Notamacropus eugenii: one gene and its partner. The protein of the gene in region 1 purifies or fractionates together with the protein of each later gene. This does not show direct contact. Links are inferred from orthologs where the notes say so. Each region holds a gene or a part of one and is shown on either strand. Other genes may lie near its edges. The genes, in order: KLF11 and SIN3A.

Region 1 (10,261 bases):
AAGTCCCCTGAATCAGAGACTGGAGTAAGTGGTCTTATCTTTAAGAGGTCACTTTTCTGGGACCTTTGACCCCAAGAGCTCATGCAAACAAGAGCTTCAACAGCTTCCATGTCTGTCTGCTCCAAGATACTACATGTGGACCTCTCGCTGTCATGTCGCTTCCTTTCCAGGATAGATTCACATATGTCCATGATGTCAACCTGAAGAGAAACAAATCACAATGAATTTGGTTTCTTTTAGTTGAATAATTTTTGAGGAATTATGGCAGAAAAGAAGGAACACTGTCCTAGGTAAAAATTTCAGCTTTGCTAACTATTACTCGGTTTCCTCTTTTGAAAAATGGGAGTGAGGAACTGTAACTATATGATCTCTATGTTCATTCAGTTCCATATCTGCTATTGTACAATCATTATTATACACATGAATATGCCCACCAACACCAGAACCCTTTGTCTATTACAAAAGGCTAAAACAGATTCCATTTCCTATTAAGTTTCTTTCCTTTTAAATCACATTTTGTAAGTGGGATTTTACTTTCTCTTTTCAAAACCATAGCTGGAAAAGAAAAAAATGCAGTTAAAAAAGAAAGGCACTCTCATCTGTGAAGCACAGTGATTTCTAGAAAATATTTTTTAAATAAAATACGTATTTTTCAGAGTAAATGACTAAAACCTCAATCACAGAAGTAAAAGCCAGAACCAGAGCATCAACTGAAACAACCATCCTCAGTGTAGAAGACTGAGTTAACCCCCTACTAATGGTGAATTTCAACACAGCACCTTCACCAATGGGTACTTACAAGGTAGGTAAGGTATTATTAGGCCCATTTTATAAACAGGGAAATTGAAAATGGGGAAAAATGTTTTAAGTAACCCAAACTCACCTTGCTAGTAAGTGGTAGGGGCAAGATTTGAACTCAGGTTTTTTTCTAAGTTTGAGTACTATACCATGTTGCCTACTCACAGAGTTAACTGAGACCCATGTCAGTTCAATGATTTATACCTAGTCATACAGCTAAGAAGTAGAGCCAAGGAAGAGTCTGGGGGACTGGAACCCAGATTTCCTACATTACAATGTCATAATTCTTCCCACTGTGCTCTCTTCCCCACCCTCCTACCTCTCAATACTTGTAAGAATCAGACGTTTGAACCTTAGAGATCCTGGAGTCAAATCTCCTCACTTTATCTCAGGAACTGAGACATCTTTCAAACAAACTCAAGAAATCAAAGTAGGCCTTTTCCTGAACACAGGCTTGTGATAACACCACTAATCAAAAATTCTGTCAGAGGTTTCTGAGGTTGAAAGGACTGAAGAGATCATCTAGCCCAAGTCCCTTCCTCCAATTTTATGAAAAAATCGTAACCCATTGAGGGGATGTGACAGATGCAGGGCAGGAATTAATAAAATCCAAGTTGTCTAACTGAAGATCCAGGGCTCTTTGCTTAAAGTATAAGTACCTACTCACAACCTCAAGCAAAGACTTCAAGACCTTGCTGCTTTCCCCAAAAGGCCCCCTTTTCCAAGCTGTACTTGTAACAGCAATAACCATGCTAACCCAGGCACTCAACAGAAATGTCAACCTAGAACCAAAGGAAAGCAATCTGTGAACAAATCCTTTCTGCCCCTGAATCACACAAGCCTCCACCAAAAACACTTTAACACTCCTTTAAATGATCTTAGCACTATGGGGTGAAGTCTATAAAACCCCAACGCATCCCCAATCCTAAATACAAATCCATATATTTCAGAACCACTATCCCGTTCTATTAGCCAAGAGGATGAAGCTAGTAAAACTAGCAATCTACTAAGAGAATCAGACAGACCCTTAGGGGACTTGCTGGGAGGGAAAGTGGAACAGGATGAAATGCCAGGTTTTCCAGAAACCCCTTATGGTATGTAAATACCTTTTGGAATCTGAGTTTTCTTAGTATCTCTGGCTATTGAGTAGCCCAGCTGTATTCAGCCTGGGAGAGGTAAAGCTAGAAAGGTAGGTGGGAATTAGACTTTGGACTTCATTTGGTGGAAGGTAACTATAGTGCCAAGACACTGTGTTAGGCACTGGGGACTTATAACAAAAATCAGTTCCTGCCCACAAACAGCTTTTATTCATATTAAGATCCCTAGACCTAAGGTCAGAAAACATGAGTTTGAGATCTCATTCCGTAGATCCTCATCCAATCCACAGCACTGAGTGGACTATGTGACCTGAGGTCTTTTTTCCAACTCTGAGATTCTACAGCTCCAAATAGCAAAACTAGAAGCAGCAAAGGATGGAAACTGTTGAGGCAGATTTTGAATAAGGAATAACTTATTAACAATGAGAGCCGGCCAAAAGAGGAATGGCTTCCTGGAAAGGCAATGAATTTCCTCCCCCTCTCCCCTTTTGGAGGGACTTAAATCAAAGGTTGGATGACTACTTCTCAACGACAGGTACTGTATTCAGATGTTGGGTTAAGAGCTCAGGTTAAGGAGACTCGAGGCCCTTGGGATTTGTGGGAAGATTTCAGGGGATCCATAAATTGGATGGGGAAAAAATTACATCTTTATTTTTACGAACCTCTAACCAACATTTAGCGTTTCTTTTCATTCTGAGTTAAAACAAAACATTAGTGCTCTAAGAAGGTGTCCATAGGTTTCACAGGGGACTATAAAAAAAAGAAAAGTTAAGAACCTCTACAGCAGAGCATCCATACTGTAAAGGTTGCGCTAGCTAGCTGCTGAAGTAAAGGCAGTTTAATACAGCATAGTATAATAAAAAGACAGATGGATTCCTAGTTAGGACCTGGTTCATTCCCCAGGTCTACTTGTTATCTGCTTTCTTCAGCGTGTCTTCCATAGGCTTCTTTCTTTCCTCACCTACAAAATAAAGGGTTGGACTAGATGACCTCCAAGATCCCCTCCAACTCTAAATCTATGATCTCTTAAATTCCTTCCGGCTATAATTTTTTGGGATTTTAAGAACTGCAGTCTTTGCTCTTCCAAAAACTAACTGAACGACCCCAGGCGAGTCATTGGGTCTCTCGGGGTCACAGTTATCCATTAGTAGAATTCGGGGGTAAGGGAACCCCACTGCCCTGCTGTAAACCCTTCACCGTCCACCTAAGACAGCCCCAAAGTTAACTTCTTTGTGCCGTGGGCCCTTTGCTAACACCCACGGACCCACTCTCAGAATGTTTTTAAAATGCATAAAACACCTCCAGGATTACAGAAGAGACAAATTCTACCGAAACAGTTTTCAAAACATTAAATACAAAGCCAAAACCAACTTCACAGACCCAAGGATAAGAGAGGGACCCCTGACCTAGCTTTTTTGGGGGGGAGCTTTTAGCCCCTCCCGGGCAAAAAGACAAACAGAGAAAGTGACCTTTCTTTCCAAGCTCATTTTTCCCGAAAGGGGAGTGGGCGTAGGTCTTCCCTCTCCCCAGTCCGGTCAAGTCCCACTGGTCTTTTCAACCTAAAAGCCCCAAAACCCAACTCCCCACCAACCTCCGGCCAGAGCCCCCGGAGTGAGGAAGTCTCGCTCTGCCCTGGAGGAGGGGCCCCTTGAACCCCACCTCCCCGGCCCCGCCCCAGACACCACCCACTCCCTACAAGGGCACGGTGACGTCATGGGTGGGCTAGGCTGGGGCCCCGTAGGCAGACCCTGCGATTCGGGGGGAGGGAAAAAATGGGAGACTGAGTCCGGCATCCAGGACCGCCCCCTCCCCGCCAGCCCGGGCCGGAAGCCCCATCTCCAATTCCGAGACCCGGCAAGGCGCGACCCCGAACCCGAAGGGGTTGTCCACACCCCTAGTCCCTCCCGAGGCCAGAGGCCTCCCCGGGCGCCCGCCCGGAGGTTGCACTGGGACGGTCAGGACTGCCAGCACGCCCTGCCCCGCCCCGGGCACCTAACGGGACTAGGCTGGCAGCGGGATCTCACCCACCCCGCACCCGCCTTCCCCGCCCGGCAAGCCCCCCACGCGCACACCCACCCAGTCCCAGGCGGAAGGGGGTGTGAGCACCGAGAGCGAATGAAAGCGGCTGCACGCGCACAGCCCCCTCCCAAAGCCAAGCCCCGGCCCGCCCGGGACGCCCCTGCGCCCAGGCTGGGGGACAGGAGGCTGAGCGAGTATCCTCCCCCCCCCCAAAAAAGCAAAAAACCCGAGCGGGTCCACGATCCCCACCAGCCAACTTGACGGCCAGCCCAGCCGGGAAACTCACCGCGAACGCATCTCCCGGGCTGGCCGTGCCGGCAGTGTGCATGGCGAGGGAGGTCGGGGAGCGGCGAAGCCGGCGCGAGCTGAGACCCTCCTGCCCGGGCGGCTGCGGCACATGTGGGAAGCGGGCGGCAGCTCTCCGAAACCCTGCACGGACTCCGGGAGAGCGGCCGGCGAGGATCCCCGGGCCGGGCGCGCGCCTCCGCCAGCCCGCCCGCCTGCCCGCCAGCGCACACGGCTCCGCCCAGGCCACGGCCCTCGACGCGCTGGGAGGGGAGGAGAAGGGGTGGGGAAGGAGGAGGGCGCGAAGAGGCCCGGGAGCGAGGGCGGGGCTCACAGGCGAACCAAAATACGGCGCGCCCCGCCGCGGAGGCTACGGGCAACGGCTGGGCCAATCGTGTGCGATCTAGTAAGCGCCGGACCAATGAGGGTGGCCGGGCGACGCGTGATCGGAGCCTGGTCCCGGCGTGATCAGGGGGCGGGGTGCGGGCACGTGTTTGTGTCGAGGAGGGATTGGGCGGGGCTGGGAGAGAAGAGTCCTGGAGAAGAGAGGGAGGCGGGAGAACCGAACCGAGGAGAGTGGGCGGGGCTTGGAGGGGAAAACCTAGGGGAGTGGAGGGGGAGGGCGGAAGAACTGAATCGCCGGGTGGAAAGTAGGGGAAAGGTCTCGGCGGCGACAGCGGCGGCGGCGGCCTGGGCGGCGGCGGCGGCGGCCGGGGATGTCCCTGCGGCGCGCAGGGGGCGGGATGGAGGCGGGGCAGCGGCGCGTATTAAAGGGGCCACGTCGGCCTGCCCCCTCTCCTTTCTGGTTGCTTTCTCCTGCTGGCCTGGGGTTCGGTTTAAGCCGTGTGGACTGCCAACGTGAGGTATTTTGGGATACATAGTATAAAAATAGACCAGTAACCTACATTCTTTGTCCTAAAGTGAAATTAACCCTGCACGTCGATGCTTCCCACAGCTCTTTCAAGACACACCGGCTGGCTATCAGTTGCATTTGTGGCGCTGACACATGAACATTTATTAAGCGCCTACTACGTACCAGGCTCTGTGCTGAGAGCCGAGATACCAATGGGCAAAACAGCCCCTGCCCTCCAGGAAGGAGCCATCTAAGGAGGCAGCCCAGAGCCAGCGTCTACAAAGTTACATGCAAGAGAAAGAGGGAGTGATGAAAAGGAGGAGGGCGATAGAAGAATTAAGAGGGGCTTGTGCAGAGGGGAGCGCCCCCCAGATCTGCCCCTGGTGATTCCTGCCATCTCCAGCCCCTTCCCCCTCTCTGATAGGTCCGCAGTCTGTGCACACGCCCCTTAGACCGAGGAGGAAACTGACGAACAGAGAGGGAAAGGGAGCCACCTGAACCGCGAGACTTGACTCGTGGTCCGAGGCTTCTTGCTTTATCATCTGAGACATCCCCCTCCACCCAAAAAGGGATTTAAATGTTCAGGGTCTAGGAGATTCAGATTTTGAGTGCCTCGTGTCTTGGCAGTTCTATCAGATCAGCAGCTCCATCCGTGCTCCCCAACAATTCATTGGCCACTTCTATTACAGGTGACTGATAATAAACATTAACCATCCTCCCCTCCACCTTAGGTACCTGTGGGAGTGATCAAAGTAGAGCCCTCACCATCACCCAAAACTAAGGCCCCTTCATGACCAGATTCTCCAGTCCTTGCAGCTTTCTGTCCTACTCTAGCAAAGATAGAGCCACATGACTAATCCCTTTAAAATTCGGAACCAGTTTTTTTCTGGATTGAATAATCTGAGATATGCAGTATGACCCTGTCTTTACAGTGAAACAAGTCCTTATCTACCTTTACTTTCCAATTCTGAACATGGTTGTCACCCCTAGTAGAAGGTAAACCTCCAGAGATCAGAGATTATTTAGGTTTCATCCTTGTATTTATTCAGAAGAAAAAGGCAGTTATTAAATGCTTCCAGAAATTGAAAGGAAAAGTGGCTGGCATAAGGTCGTTAAGATAAATTAATTAATAGAACCCTCTTTCTTCATCCAAGGATGTTTGTTGGGCTACTTTTTGGCCCCAAGAAGCAAGACAACTCCACATCTCTTCTCACCCTTTCTAGTTCAGAAGCTAAGATCAAATGAACACTTCAGCCACTGCGGAAAAGGTTTGTGCATAAGAAACCATTCACAATCTCCCCTAACTTTCCAAACCAAAATGTACCCCCTGGCTATTACTCTCCAATATGTATTTTCTCCCTCTATTCTAATGTAAATTCAATAAAGGAAGCAACTATCTAGCTTTTGATTTTATATTGCCAGCACTTAGTACAAAGATCTACATCTATTAAAGCTTAATAATTGCCTTTTTTTATTCATTCATTCTTAGATTTAAAGTTGGAAGGCTTTTGAAGGATCATTTAGTTTAACCCCCTTATTTTTAAGATAGGCCCAGTGCCTTTCACATACTACCTCTCCCCACACTCATCCCTTTCCATTTTAGCCCCATCCCTCTGGAACCCCTGTCGTCTACTTTCATCTTCCGTTGTAGCCTCTGGAACCCCCATTTTTTTGCTAACAAACATTCCTTTGCTTTGACCTCTCTCCTTCCATCTTCTGCCTCTCAGCAGAGAAACTTTGTCCTTGTAGTTTTGGTTGCTCTTTCTCTCTGGCTTCCAGGATATGTTGGGCAAGTAGGTACTAGACTTCTGCTGTGAGGTTCATTTCATTCATCTTCCTATCTCAATCCAGATCCCTGTTCCTTTCATCTACCAGGCCCCAGGTGACTCTCTCTCATTTCTCAAAGACTCTGCCTTCCTCACTAACTCTTATTACTTGTCTTCATTATTGGTGACATCAGTATCCATTAAGAGAATGCTCTGCATTCTCAGTTAATTTACCCCATCAACTCCTAAGACCTAGCCTTACCTCTACCTCTACATTTCCGCAGGATCCTTTGCCCTTCTCATTGGACTCTGACTTCAAAGGAGGGCTGTGGGTTCTAGGGCCTTGATTTAAAAAGGGGCCCAGCATAGTTTTTCTCCCCTTTGCCCCAGAGCTACATAGCTTTCAGAATTCTTGGAAACTCTCCATCCAAGCCTTCAAGCCAAGTAGCTTCTCCCACCCACTTTTCACCTTCCTTTTGTGTGTTATCTTTCCCCTTTAGACTGTAAGGGCAGAGATTGTCTTTAGTTTTGGATACAAAACCTGTGCTTACTTCAGCTCCAGGCCTATTGTAAGCACTTTATAAATGTTTCTCGACTAACCTCTCTTCTACCTGAGGTACCAAAGGAGAGATCACTGGGGAGACCTCACCATCACTCCAAACTGAGGCCCCTTCATGACCGAATTCTTCAGTCCTTCCAGCTTTCTCTCTAATCCCTTTATATATATATATATATATATATCAAGTTTCTCCCTGATTGAATTAGCTCGGATCTGCAGTATGACCCTGTCTTTACAGTTAACTCCTTATCTACCTTTACTTTACTTTCTTTACTTGTTGGTAAACTCTAGTAGTAACTTGAAAAGGCTACAAGCCAAGACCGAAGTGGAGGGAATGTTGGTGCACAATTTTGTGTTTGTAGATGATTGTGCACTCAATGTAGTCTCTGAAACTGAGATGCAACAAAGTATGGATCAATTCTCAGCTGCTTGTGCTAATTTTGACCTAATAATTAACACCAAGAAAACGCCACCACCACACCATCCATATGTAGAATTATCAGTTATAGTGAATGGAGAAGTTTTAAATGCTGTGTATATGTTCATTTACCTTGGTGGTATGCTTTCCAGGGATGTACACATTGATAATGAGGTTGACACAAGAATGGCCAGAGCTAGCTCAGTGTTTGGGAGGCTCCAAAGGAAAGTATGGGAGAGAAGAGGTATTAGACTGACTATCAAACTGAAGGTCTACAGAGTGGTTGTGCTGACTTCATTGCTGTATGCCTGTGAAACATGAACAGTCTACCAGCACCACACTAAGAAACTGAATCACTTCCATTTGAACTCTTAGGAAGTTTCTGAATATCACCTGGCAGGATAAGGCACCAGACACTGTGGTCCTTGCTTGAACTCTGCTTCAGAGAGTACAACTCTGATGGGCTGGTCACGTTGCTCAAATGCAAAATGTACACTTGCCAGAAAGACTATTTTATGGAGAACTCACACAGGGCAAGGGATCACATGATGTTCAGAAGAAGCAATACAAGGACATTCTTAAGGTCTCTCTCAAGAACTTTGAAATTGATTGTGTGAAATAGGAGACACTGGCACAGGACTGCTCAGCATGGTGTTTTCACATCAGAGAAGGTGCTTGTGCTCTATGAGCAAAGCAGAATTGAGACAGCTCAAAGGAAACATAGGATGCACAAATTTATAATAACCACCCCAAACATTCAGACTATTTGTGCCAGACCTATGGTAGATCATTCTGTGCTCGTGTTGGTCTGATCAGCCACTGTCAGACACATTGAAACTTGATTCTACCATAGAAGTTTCATCTTGGAGAATGAAGGACAACAACTAGCTATCTGCCTTTACTTACTCTTTTCTATACTTGTTATAATATAACCCCTCATAGAAGGTATGTGTCCTGAGGTCAGGGATTATTTTGTTTGTCTTTTGATCCAGAGCAGCTGGCACAGCTAGTGGCTAGCTCTGATGAAGTGAGCAGTTACTAAATGCTTCCTGAATTGAAAGGAAAAGTGACTAGATTAAGATCATAAAGTAAATTATGGACTAGAAACCAGGTCTCCTAACTTAGTCCAAGAGTCTTTCTTCAGTGTAAGGATGCTTGTGGACTACTCTTAGCACCTAGAAACATTCATTTAGGGCAGCTAAGTGGTACAGATGAGGAAAGTGACGTCGAAGATCACAACTAGGTGACATCTCAGATCTGTTCCAGCTCTAGATTTATTATTCTAAGGATGTGACCCTGGAAAGTCATACCATATTCAAAGGAAGGAGAGGCAATAGTGTATTACATACAGAATTGATAAGATATTCGTGAGGAAATTCAGGAGAACATTTGGATAAAGATCAGCCGAGGGAAAAACAGAAGCACTGGTGTCATGGAGTATGCCACACATCACCTGGACAGAAAATAAATGAGGCATTCAAAAAATAGATCACAATTGTGGTAAGGAGGCTTAACATGATGGAGGTCTTTAACTATCCAGTCATCTGCTAGATCTCCCTGTGTACCAAAAGCAGAACAGCTAATGGTCTTGGATTGCATTAAGGATAACTTCACCCTTCAAAAGACAGAAGATCTAAATCCATTCTCACCAATCACTTAAGACTGATTGCTGAAATAGAATCAATGAGAATCTTACTAGAAAGTAACCACTACATTTTAGAATTTATGACCGAAGAAGAAAATTGGCATATGATTCTGGCATATCACCTAGAGCTGGGGAGAGCAGATTTCAAAGGTTCCTAGGAAGGCTAGGTCCTATATCATAGACAAAAATTCAACAGGATACATTAATGTAAGAAGCATCATAAGAAGTTCTCAAAAATTATTATCTGAAGATGCACATAGAGGTACTTACAGTGAGTAAGAAAAAGGGACTACTGTCATATAGAGACTAATGTGGATGTTCAGGGAAATCATCAATGAACTTGGATTTATTTTTATTTTTTGCCCTCCCACAAGGAATAGACAAAATAAGACAGAAAACAACCCCCAAACAACTCAAACCCAACCCTTCACTCTGTAAACTATTAAGCAAAAAAGCATTTTTTAAAAAATGATTTCAAATGATTTTACCTAAAACTTATGTTTACCTTTTATTATTTACTGATTGATTAAAGACTGGAAGACCATGTCCATTAATTTTAATATGGTAGCACTAACATGATCCTGTTGTATTCCAGTGCAGAGTTTTGAAAGATGTGTGCAGATTCTCAAAATAAGGTAGGGGCAGGAGAGAGGCTGTAATGTCAAAGAGGGTAAAGAGGTGGGGGTGGGGGTGTTTAAAAAGTGTCCAGCATCCTAAAACTCAGAAAGAGCTGAAACTGTCAAATATTATGTGCACCAGAAACCATTTTTCTGTTTTTGTATCTTTTTAAAATATATGATAGAGAAATAAGAAGGATTGAA
Region 2 (10,118 bases), about 310 Mb from region 1:
GCCTTCCGAGACCGCGCCCGGGACTGGCCTACCCAGCCCCCATCGCGCCCAGGGAGGGCCTCCCGCGCCGAGGGCCGTGGCCGCCAAGGCTCCGCCCCCCGGGCCCCAAGCTCGAGCCCGGGGCGGCCGAGCCCCCGCCGACAGCACCTGGCGCGAGGCCGGCCCGGCCGGGACAGCACCCGGGCGCGCCCGGCTCCTCCCCGCCGGCGAAGCGGCGGCACGAGGGCCCGCCCCGCTCGGCGCGCACCGGCGCGACGCTAGCTCCCTCCTCCCTCCCTCCTCCCGCACAGGGAGCTCCCCGCTCCGCCCCTCACCTCCTCCGTCCCCCCCCCCCTCCGCGCGCGCGCGCGAGACACCCTCTCATACACACATACACACCCCGGTCGCCTGCTCTACGGGAAGCGCAGGGGGACAATCACCCGCCCCCCCCTCCGTACACACACCCCTTGAGTCCCTTCCCCACCCCCACATTTCACCCCGAGCCGCACAGCGAGTGGAGCCCTGCCCGCTCCTTCTCCCGGGCCCAGCGGGGTGTAAAGAGGGAGGCGGGCCGGGGAGAAGGGAGGGAAGGAGGGCGGGCTCCGCGCTTTCGCCCGCCTGACGGCCGGCCCCTCGCTCTCACCTCAAAGCTGCCTCGGCCGTTCACAAGTCTGTCCCGTCTCGGGCGGCGAGAGCTCCCGGGTTGCGCGGCGGCGGTGGTGGCGGTGGCAGTAGCGAGGGGGCGGGGAGGGGAGGCCGGAGCAGGGCTCTCGGCGCGGGGCCGGAGCGGACTGGCAGTCCCCCGGCGGGGACTGGGGCGCTCACGGGCCCCGCTCCCCAGCCGCAGCCAGACCCGGGGAGGGAAACTCCGAGGGGGGAGGGGAAGGGGGGGAAAGACGAAGAAACCGTCTCCGCTGCCGCTACCGCCGCGGCCGCTTCTCTGTTACCCGGGAAATCCCGCCCACTCCCCTTGCCCGCCCCGCTGAGGGGAGACCCAGTCCTACCGAGCGACAGGCTGCGTAGACTGTTCATCAGGTCCTTCACCAATCACTACTCCCGTCCAGCCTAAGGCCCGCCCCCACGCCCCCCCCACACACACCGCCGGGGGAGCCACTTACCTTCCCCACACCCCTATTGGCGGGGAGCTCCCCCAACTCAGACCCACCTATTGGAGGCTGCCAGTTGACTCCCGCCCACCCACCGCTAGGTCATTGGAGAAAACTAGGAGATTCTTTGCAACTTATTGGAGGAAGGCACGGAGCCCGCCCCACTCCTACTACCCCATTGGAAGATTACCTCAGCTCCCACCCCCCTAGCTACCTCATTGGAAGAAATTCTTCTTCCCTCCCCCCTCAGATCTTCTACCACCCTAGGAAGGTAACTGGTGCGGTGTAAAATGTCCGTAAATGAAACGGACCCCGCCCACCCCCACCGCCCCTGAGACCCCGCCCACCTCCCTCGGGATTGGATGAATTGTCATAGGATAGCACGGCTATTGGGCTGAAGACCTGTCCAGGAAGCAGCTAGCTCCGCCCCTGAACTAGGAGGCTGTGCCTCCTAAGACCTTTTGTGGAATGTTTACACTAGAGACTGAACCCTAGAGAATTCCGGGTTCCCGAGTTGAGGGGTGGCGCCAGCAATGGGGATCCCTGCTTAAAGAGGAGAGGCGGCAGCTTCTGGACTCCGTCCCCATCCGTGCACACAGAGGAGTAAGAAAAAAAATTAAGACGGCCCCTACTCTCTTAACCACCACCCCACCCACCTCCTTTGCAAATGCTTGCAACCTACAGCAAAGACCACAGTGTCACAAATGCAACCATCCAGTAGTGCTGCACTCAGCTAACTGGTTGCATCTAGACTAGGGGCACGCATCACGGAAGATTTAGTCTCCCCCATGACTTCTGTTTCACCCACCAAACCCCCAATATTGTACTGTTCAGGAAGGACGTAATTAAAAAGGCGAAATATCCTGAACCCTAAACAGACCCCTGTCACCCTAACAACTGTGGGAGAAAGCACTGATCCTCACAAGCTAAGCAAACAACCTGGCCCTCGTGCCAAAAATAAAAATCAAGCGGAGGAATGTCCATTGAAGCTGCCAGTTCGGGGTACAGAGAAAGGGGAAATGAGAAAAACCTCACATTTGGGAGTCTAATGCAGAAGGTCGCTTATAGTCCTCATCCACTTATCTACAACCCACTGCAAATAAAAGTGAAATGGGTTCACAAAGATCTTTTCTCTTCACGACTACCGCTATTTCCAAATACAACAACCTTTTAGTTGCCCAAAATTAGAATCCCATGAGGATGAGGTCGGGTTCAGAGAGCTGCACGTAGCCTATTTATTTCTATCGGGGGTGAGGAGGCGAGGGACACCCAGAGTGGCCTCCTCGGCTACGGGCGTGCCGCAGGTAAGCGAGTTTGTGATGGGCACTAAGCCCGCAACAACCGATTCTCGGTGGGAAACTACAGCGCGCTTTGTTCGCACGATGTGGTTTTCCGTGGCGTGTGGCCTGACACCCAGGAGCTGGGCTCGCTTGCCGCGGTTTCTGGTTCTGCTAGCTCCCTCCCTCCTTCAGCCTGAATGTTCTCAAACGTGGGATGGCAACAGGTGTGCCCGCCTCCCCGGCCCGTTCCCAACTGCTAAGGCACGGAGCGCGTCGGGAGGAACGCAAACTCTCTCCGGGAGCTCCCAACAGGTGACCTGGAGGATCCGGGCCGCCGAGGCGGGAGCTGGCCCGAAGCGAGATCAAGCCCAGACCGAGCGGGGGTTCCAAGCTTTCCTGCCGACGCTCGGAGGCTGGAGGCGGCAGCCTTGGGACTCTCGGGCCAGAGAAAAAAGAGCCCCCGCAGCACTGCCGAGCTCGGGGCCAGGAGGAAGCCCCTCATCTTCCCACACCCACAGGGCGCGGCTCGGATTGACGCTATTCGCTTTGGCCCCGCCGGAGGCTCCGCACTGCAGAGCATCTGCAGGCAAGCCGGCTCAAGCAGGCCTAGCCCTAGCTCAAACCCAGGAGGGTGCACAGCCCTCGACTTCCGGGAGGGCGGCCTGGGGCGGGCCTCCCACGTGTGGGGCAGGGGAGGGGGCGCACCCTACTGTTCCTCACGCTCTCCTCCCCCCGCAGGTAGGCGGGCCACCCCATCAGCCAATCCACTTCGACGCTGAGTCCCTCTAGCCTTAACTCATCCAGCTTCCGGGGCTGGGGGAGGGGGAGAAACCTAGCAACTTGAACCAGAGCCAGGCTTTGCGATAGGAGGAGTTGGCGGAGGGAGAGCAAGAACCAATAGAGAACTAGGAGGGGGGGGGGAAAATGGAGTCGTTCTCAGTCAATAGGAAACAAGAGGGGGCGGGTTCAGTCTTGCAGCCGGAATGGGGAGGGAAGGCGAGGGAGGAGAGAATGAGCGGCCCCGCCCCCTGCGCGCCCCCGGTTGCCCAAGCCAACGCCAGAACAGGTTGTAAACAGGCCGGGTCCCGGAGTGGAGGAAGCGAAGCCTCCCCTCTCCCCGAGCCTGCCGGGCCGGCAGCCCCGCCCACCGCGGGCCGGACGCGGCGGCGCACAGCTGACAGCGCCCCTCCCCCTCCCTCACAGGCTCCGCCCCCCGCGCACTGATGCATTTCCTCTTCCCGAGTCCCAGCGTGTGGAGTCGGGTCTGCCCGCTCGCTCGCTCCCGACCTTCACCGCCCCCTTTCCTGCCTCCGCTGCCCCGCGCCCGTCCCCCGCTGCTCCCCGCTCTCCGGGCCGTCCCCGTGGGACGCTCCCCGAGCTCGAGGGCCGAACGCGGGCCCGGCGGGTTCGGACGTGGAGCAGGATGCCCGCTCGCCGGGGCTGGCCCCGGGACTCGGGTCTTGGGACGTCCGTCTGCGCAGGCTGAGGGGCTGGGAGTCCTGCCCGCGGGCTGTCGGGCCCACGAACGTCCGCGGCCCGGAGCAGTCTGGGGCTCTCCGAGCGCCCACTGCAGCCCCCTCCCCCCAGCCCGCGGTCAAGTTCACGGGCAGCCGGAGGGGCGGTGATCCTCTAAGAGAACCACGCCCGGCCCTAGCCGGCTCCCTTCAAACCCAGGACGGCGGACGCCCCCAGACCTCCTCCGGCGGGCGGACGGAGACCCCTGAGGGGGCCAGCGACCCCCCACCCCCGCCTCGCCAGTCCAGGCGGGGAGGCCCGGCCCTCCCGCCCCCCAGCGCCGAGCCTCCTCTCGCCCTGCGCCCCTTAGACCTAGACACCACACCCCCGAAATGCCCGATATTGGGGGGGGTACTGAATGGAAAGCAGCTGTTCACATACCCTCAAAGCCCAGGCGAGGAGTCCTGAATGGGTGGGAACGCCCCCCAAACAGGATTGGCCACACGCAGGGTTGACGTCACCAGAGCCCGCCTCCCTCCCCTTTTCCCCTCCCCTTCCCGCGCTGCACCACTCCCCCGCTTCCAAAATTCAGATTCGCTCTCGGGGGCCGTCGCCGGCCCGCCCGCCTTCGCGCTCCGCCTGTGCTTCACGCGGGCCCGGGCGCTCCTAGAGGAGGGGGCGCGAGGAGCGGTGTGGGGGCAGCCCCGCCCCGGTGCGATCTGGGCAGGGGACTGCCGAGCCAAGCAGTTCCGTGGTCCCGGGGTCCGCGAGCCAATCAGGACTTTGCCCATCCTCATTCCGGGCTGTCCGGAAAGCTCAGACTGGTCAGACCCACGCTGTGCCTTGTGTGCCCCAGTTACCAGAGATCTGGGGGCTCACCTTCCTAGGCTGTGAAGTGATGGGCCAGCGTGAGACCACCTTCAAAGGCTCCTCCAGCTCTAGATCTGTGATCCTCGTTTGGTCCTTCCTGTTAATAGCAGGGGCTCTGTCTGCTTTCAACTTTAGACCTTCTAGTGTGGCCCAGTGCATGCAGTTGGTATTTAATGGTTGTTGAAGCTACCAAGAGTGGCATCCATTGCGTTTACTGGAGACATACAAAGATGGCTCCTTGATTCCTAATAGTTCACAGACTAATATGAGAGTTACTTGTGAATAGAGCTATACCTCAGTTTCTGTATCTATAAACTGATGGTCGTGCACTAGGTAATGTTCAGGGTCCTTTCCAACTCTAAATCTGTAATCTTTTCTTTTATCCCTATTAGACTGTAAGATACTTGAGCACAAAGCCCCCCTGCCCACTTTCGTCTTTATTCCCGTACTGCCTAGTGCAGAACAGCACCCTTCATCTCAGCCACCAGTACAAAGCAAGGAAGACATCCTCTTTTATCCTCTTTTTCCTCCTTTCCATCCCTCTCCCAAGGCAAAGTAGGGTCTTGACCACCCTTCACATGAAGAGCTCTGCCTAACCTTTAAACCAAATGGAAGCAGAAAGAATCAAGCCTGCCTCAGGCAGTCAATAAACATTTATTAAGTGCCTACTGTGTACCAGGTACTGGGCCAAGACCAGGGTTTCAGTGGCGTGGCCAGGCCAGCCAAGGGTCTGTCTTTCCTGGTGCATGGACTCTAGTCCTATTCCAAGCTTTCTTTATCACTGGTAGTTTTCCTCCCCTCCTTGTGTTTACTAGCTACTTTATAATACAGTAAGTTCTTATTAAGCACCTACTTTGTCCCAAGAAATGAGAGGGAGATGGTGGGTAGAGACCTGACCTTGAAGCCAGGAAGGCCCTGACTGAGCAAATCACCTAATCTTTCAGTGCTACAGGCAACTTTCTGTGTCAGGGTCTTGGGTCCACAAGCTACTTGGAGATTTCGGAGACAGGAGCCATGAACTTGGATGGAAAGAAAAATTACATCTTTATTTTCACCAACCTCTAACTGAAATTTTAATTTCCTTCAAGTACTAAGAACATAATTCTGAGAAGGGGTCCACAGGCCTTATCAGATTGCAGCTAAGAACTGCTGCTCTAAGACAGAAAATTGAAGCTAAGGTGCCAACCTGCATTCTAGAGGGATGTCCTCACTCAGGATCCCCCATCCCAAAGAAATCTAAGGCCACCTCCTCTTCCTGTCCCTATTTGTCAGGCATTATGCTAGGTATGGAGGACACAGACAAATAGTTCCAGCCCTCAGGGAGCTTATCTTCTACTTAGAACCCAGGACAATACACAGATGAGTAAATGCAAAATATATACTGAAGAAATACAAAAGTTGGGGGGAGGGAGCAGAGTTTTTCCAGTTTGGGAATCATGAAAGGCTACCTACTGATGGTGATCCCTGAGCAAAACCGTGAAGGAAATTAGAAATTCCAAGAGACCAGAAGGGAAATCCCCAAACTGCCTTAAATTTAGGCAAATTGGAGCAAGTGAATGCTAAAGCAGGAATGGTAGTGGCTTTAGGTGAGGGGGAAAAAGAGAGAGAGGACCTTTCCCTGTGGACCTTTAGGTGAGGTGAGGTCAGATAGCGAACAGCAAGGGCTTCAATCCTAGGAGAACTTTTAAGGTCACCCTGGCTGCTGGAGGCCCTGGAAGAGCTGTCTAGTCCTTCCTGTGGCCTGAGGATAGTGTATACATATAACTGCCAACAGGAAAAATTTCTCGGAACCCTGAGAAAAGGGCTAAACAACCTGCCCAAAGCACTTTGAGATTCCAGTGGAGGATGCTTTTTGCCAAAGGGGCAGTTGGAAAAGTGGAATGAAGAGGAAGGACTTCTGGCTTTAATCTCTTAAAGCCAAGCTGTAGAAGACAGCAAGACTTGTCCCAGTCTGGGCTCCTCTGGGCCCAGATCACAGGAAAAAGACCAATGTGGCCTGAGCTTGTCCTCTGTCCTCCAGCTAAAAAAAAGAGGGAGGAGTGATTTGCTGTCCTCCAGACCCAGGCTTGTCCCATCTAATACAGCTATCTAATCACCACTTGCTTTGACTTTCAGGTGCTTTCTTTTCCTTAAAGAAAATCAGCAGCTTGGAGTTCATGGGAGTGAGGGTAAAGGAGGGGGATAGCAAATAGACAGACAGGCTTAGCAAATCAGTGTCTTAATTCATAGAGTTCATATTGGCAGGGCTTCAACATCCCCAATCTGATTCAATTAGTAAACAAATATTTACTGAGCACACAGGTACAGAGACATGTAAGATATGCTCTCAAAAAGCCCACAAACTGGTTGAAGAGACAAAATTAACATGCCATACAACTTTATACAATAGCTCCCTGGAATCATCTTTGATCACTCCAGCCCTCACTGATATCCCTCTTTCTGAACTTCTCTGCTGTCTGTGGCATATTCTGAACTATTCATCATTTAATGATCCCATCTTGAGTTTGCCCATTATTTCATTCACTCTCCTCCATTCAAGTCCTCCTGCAATTCCTCACCAGGGTGTGTCAATGATGACTCACTATGCCAGCAGATCCACTAAGGCAGAATGGCTTGCCAGTGATGGTCTGCTGTCTGTGGACCAGCTTAAGCAAGTTCAGAGAGACATCACCAAGTTGGCCCATGGGTGATGAATTTCTTAGCTATCCCAGCTCTTCATATTATTTTCACATTACATTATAAGCTGGTTGCATCAAACCCCAAAACACTGCTGAGCCTCCTAGAAGAGCTCCATCATCACTAAAGTGAGTTTGGTTTGTGTGTTTACTCATGAAAGACTATCTGGAATAGTCACTCAGGTTATGATTTGTATTTGTTTGGAAACCTAGCTCTTGTCTGTCAGTATGTATATGGACAGATGGTACAAATGGACAAAGAGTTGAACTTTAAATGACTGGAGAGTAGGTTGAACTGCCTTCCAGAAACTGCAAAGCTCCAAACTCTCTTAGAAATAATACATAAATCCATTTAATCTTTTCAGTACCTGTAGTCTGTTGGTGTTATTGTGTGGCTTAAAGACATGGAACCCAACAATCTCAGAAGAAATAAAAAAAATATCCTGCCACAGAGGTCAGTGGAGAGGAATGTGGTGGGAAGAAACAAGCTGCAACATCTAACAAATGGAGAATTTTGGAGGAAAAAAGTAGTAAAAGATGTCATCAGAGAAATGGACAAAAGAAAAAGATGGGCTCGTTATGGGGCCAAGGTAAGGGATAAGAGAAGGAGAAGCATGTGAGTCTTCCACTGGCATCCTCAGGATTATCAGAAAAAAGGAAAGAGAGTCTATAGCTGTATGGTTGACAAACTTCTGTGCAGACAGGAACAGGAGCCCTCCAGTATGAGTACACAGAAATGGGGTAGAAGGAACACACATTCAGATCAGTGACTTTACAAATCCATTCTTTTGAGGACATATCTGAGCAATTCTTGAAGAATGGCTACCAGGATAGAGAGGGACCACAACCTTTTTATTGGAGGGGACAGCCATACCAATCACAGGTCCTTGGAATATTGAAATATTTCACATACTTTCTTATTGCCTCCATGTTTGAATCATCAGCTCTCTGAGGAAAAGGACTGTGTCTACCTATCTCTTTCTTTCCTTCACTAACGGCTAACACAGGGCTGGGCACAGGAAAACAATCACTAATTGTTTGAAGATTGAATGATACTGTCCTAACTGAATTAAAAAGGGACCTATCAGGAAGTTCTACTATGACAAATAAGGATGGAGAAAAAGCAGACTGTGTGGAATGTCAGAGAAAGGGGTGTAGAGTTTAGCTTATACCCTCTCCCAGTCTTTTTTTTTACAGTGCTACCAGACACCTCTTCACCCTGGAAGCCCTCACTACCCCTGGACTTCACACACTCGAATCATCCTCTATTCTGCGGTCTATCCCTCTCATTGGCTGGTTCCTTTCAGAACCTTCCTGTTAGGGAGGATACCCATGTTTCTTATTCTTCTCTAGATTGGACATTCTCTACAGTGAACTTCCTCTATAGTATGCCTTCTAACGTGCCCTCATCTTCTTCATTCTCTCCTTTTCAGCTCCATTTTATGATGTCTTCCTCCATTAGAATATAAGTTTCTTGAGGTCAAGAACTCGCTTTTCTTCTGCTTATACTTATATCCCTAGAGCTTAACATAGTGCCTGGCACATAATTGTTTTTGAATCATTTCAGTCATACCTGATTCTTTGTGACCCCATTTGAGATTTTCTTGGCAAAGATGCTGGAATGGTTTGCCATTTTCTTCTCCAGCTCATTTTACAGATGAGGAAACTAAGGCAGAGTTAAGTGATTTACCCAGGGTCATACAGCTAGTAAGTGTCTGAGACTGGATTTAAACTCAGGAAGACGAGTCTTCCTGATTTCAGGCCCAGTGCTTTATCCACTGTACCACCTAGCTGCTCTGGCACATGGTAAGTTTTAATAAATGCTTGTTAACTTGACTATAAATAACAAGAAGTGATTATGGTTTTCTGAACAGGAAAGTAATATAATTAAAGTGGTATTTTACGAAAATTATTCTGGTAGAGTTATGCATGATGGATTAGAGGCAGAGATTAGAAGAAGGAAGTCAGTGTATTCTAATAATCTAGGCCAGAAGTGAGAAGTATAAGAAGCAAGATGTTAGTCATACAAGCTGGGTTCTAATCCTGGCTTTGTTTCTTCCTAGATGACCTTGTACAACTTGGCTCATCTCTCTATAGCCCTTCATTCCTTTATCTGTAAAATAAAGAACTGGGACTGGGTGACTTCTAAGGTCTTTTCCAGTTCTCTGATTCTATGAGTATGAATGAAAGGACTGATAGTGAGAATGAAAAGGAATGGATTGATATGAAAGATATTGTGAAAGAAAACTGAATCCGAGTACTGGGTGTCATATTAGATAAAGGGAACAAAAGAGAAAATTGAATCAAACATGGAAGATTTTCAACCTCCATGACCCAACTGAGTGATGTACTTGACAGATACTGTGAGGGCAGGAGGAGAAAACCAGGGAGGTGGAGGGTAGAAATCTCTTCAGTTTGGCACCCATGGAGTTTAAAGTAGCAGTGAGACATAAGGTGGGACATAGACACATAGTAGATTGAAATTTAGTTCCATGAATCCAGGAGGAGGCAAATTGTCAGTCTTCCCTAGAGAGGACCATTGAAAAGTTCTTCCAGAGAGGAAAAAAAGGGTCAAGAACATTATTAAGAGATCCACAGACACCAGAGGAAAGGGGCTAGAGGGGGTTCCCTTCCCCCTAGTAGATGAGGAGCTCTCCAAGAACAGAGACTGTGTCTCCTCCCTTAAGACTAGGTTTCCTGATGTCCACCATGTCTCTCCATATTCTTATATCTCCCACAAAGCCCACAGTGAG

The links.
Region 2: the proteins of KLF11 (region 1) and SIN3A purify together in Homo sapiens (affinity purification with western blotting, with the first as the bait; 3 studies listed by BioGRID). This does not show direct contact. The link is inferred for Notamacropus eugenii from reciprocal best matches to the Homo sapiens genes KLF11 and SIN3A.

Annotation. Positions count from the first base shown.
Region 1 is NC_092872.1:548,762,893-548,773,153, forward strand, and holds the start of KLF11 (Krueppel-like factor 11), read right to left. Parts: upstream 4,456-10,261; 5' UTR 4,243-4,455; coding exon 4,201-4,242; intron 201-4,200; coding exon 1-200. UniProt on the Homo sapiens protein: Transcription factor. Activates the epsilon- and gamma-globin gene promoters and, to a much lower degree, the beta-globin gene and represses promoters containing SP1-like binding inhibiting cell growth.
Region 2 is NC_092872.1:240,365,927-240,376,044, reverse strand, and holds the start of SIN3A (paired amphipathic helix protein Sin3a), read right to left. Parts: upstream 4,312-10,118; 5' UTR 4,262-4,311; intron 935-4,261; exon of another isoform or gene 623-934; intron 1-622. UniProt on the Homo sapiens protein: Acts as a transcriptional repressor. Corepressor for REST. Interacts with MXI1 to repress MYC responsive genes and antagonize MYC oncogenic activities. Also interacts with MXD1-MAX heterodimers to repress transcription by tethering SIN3A to DNA.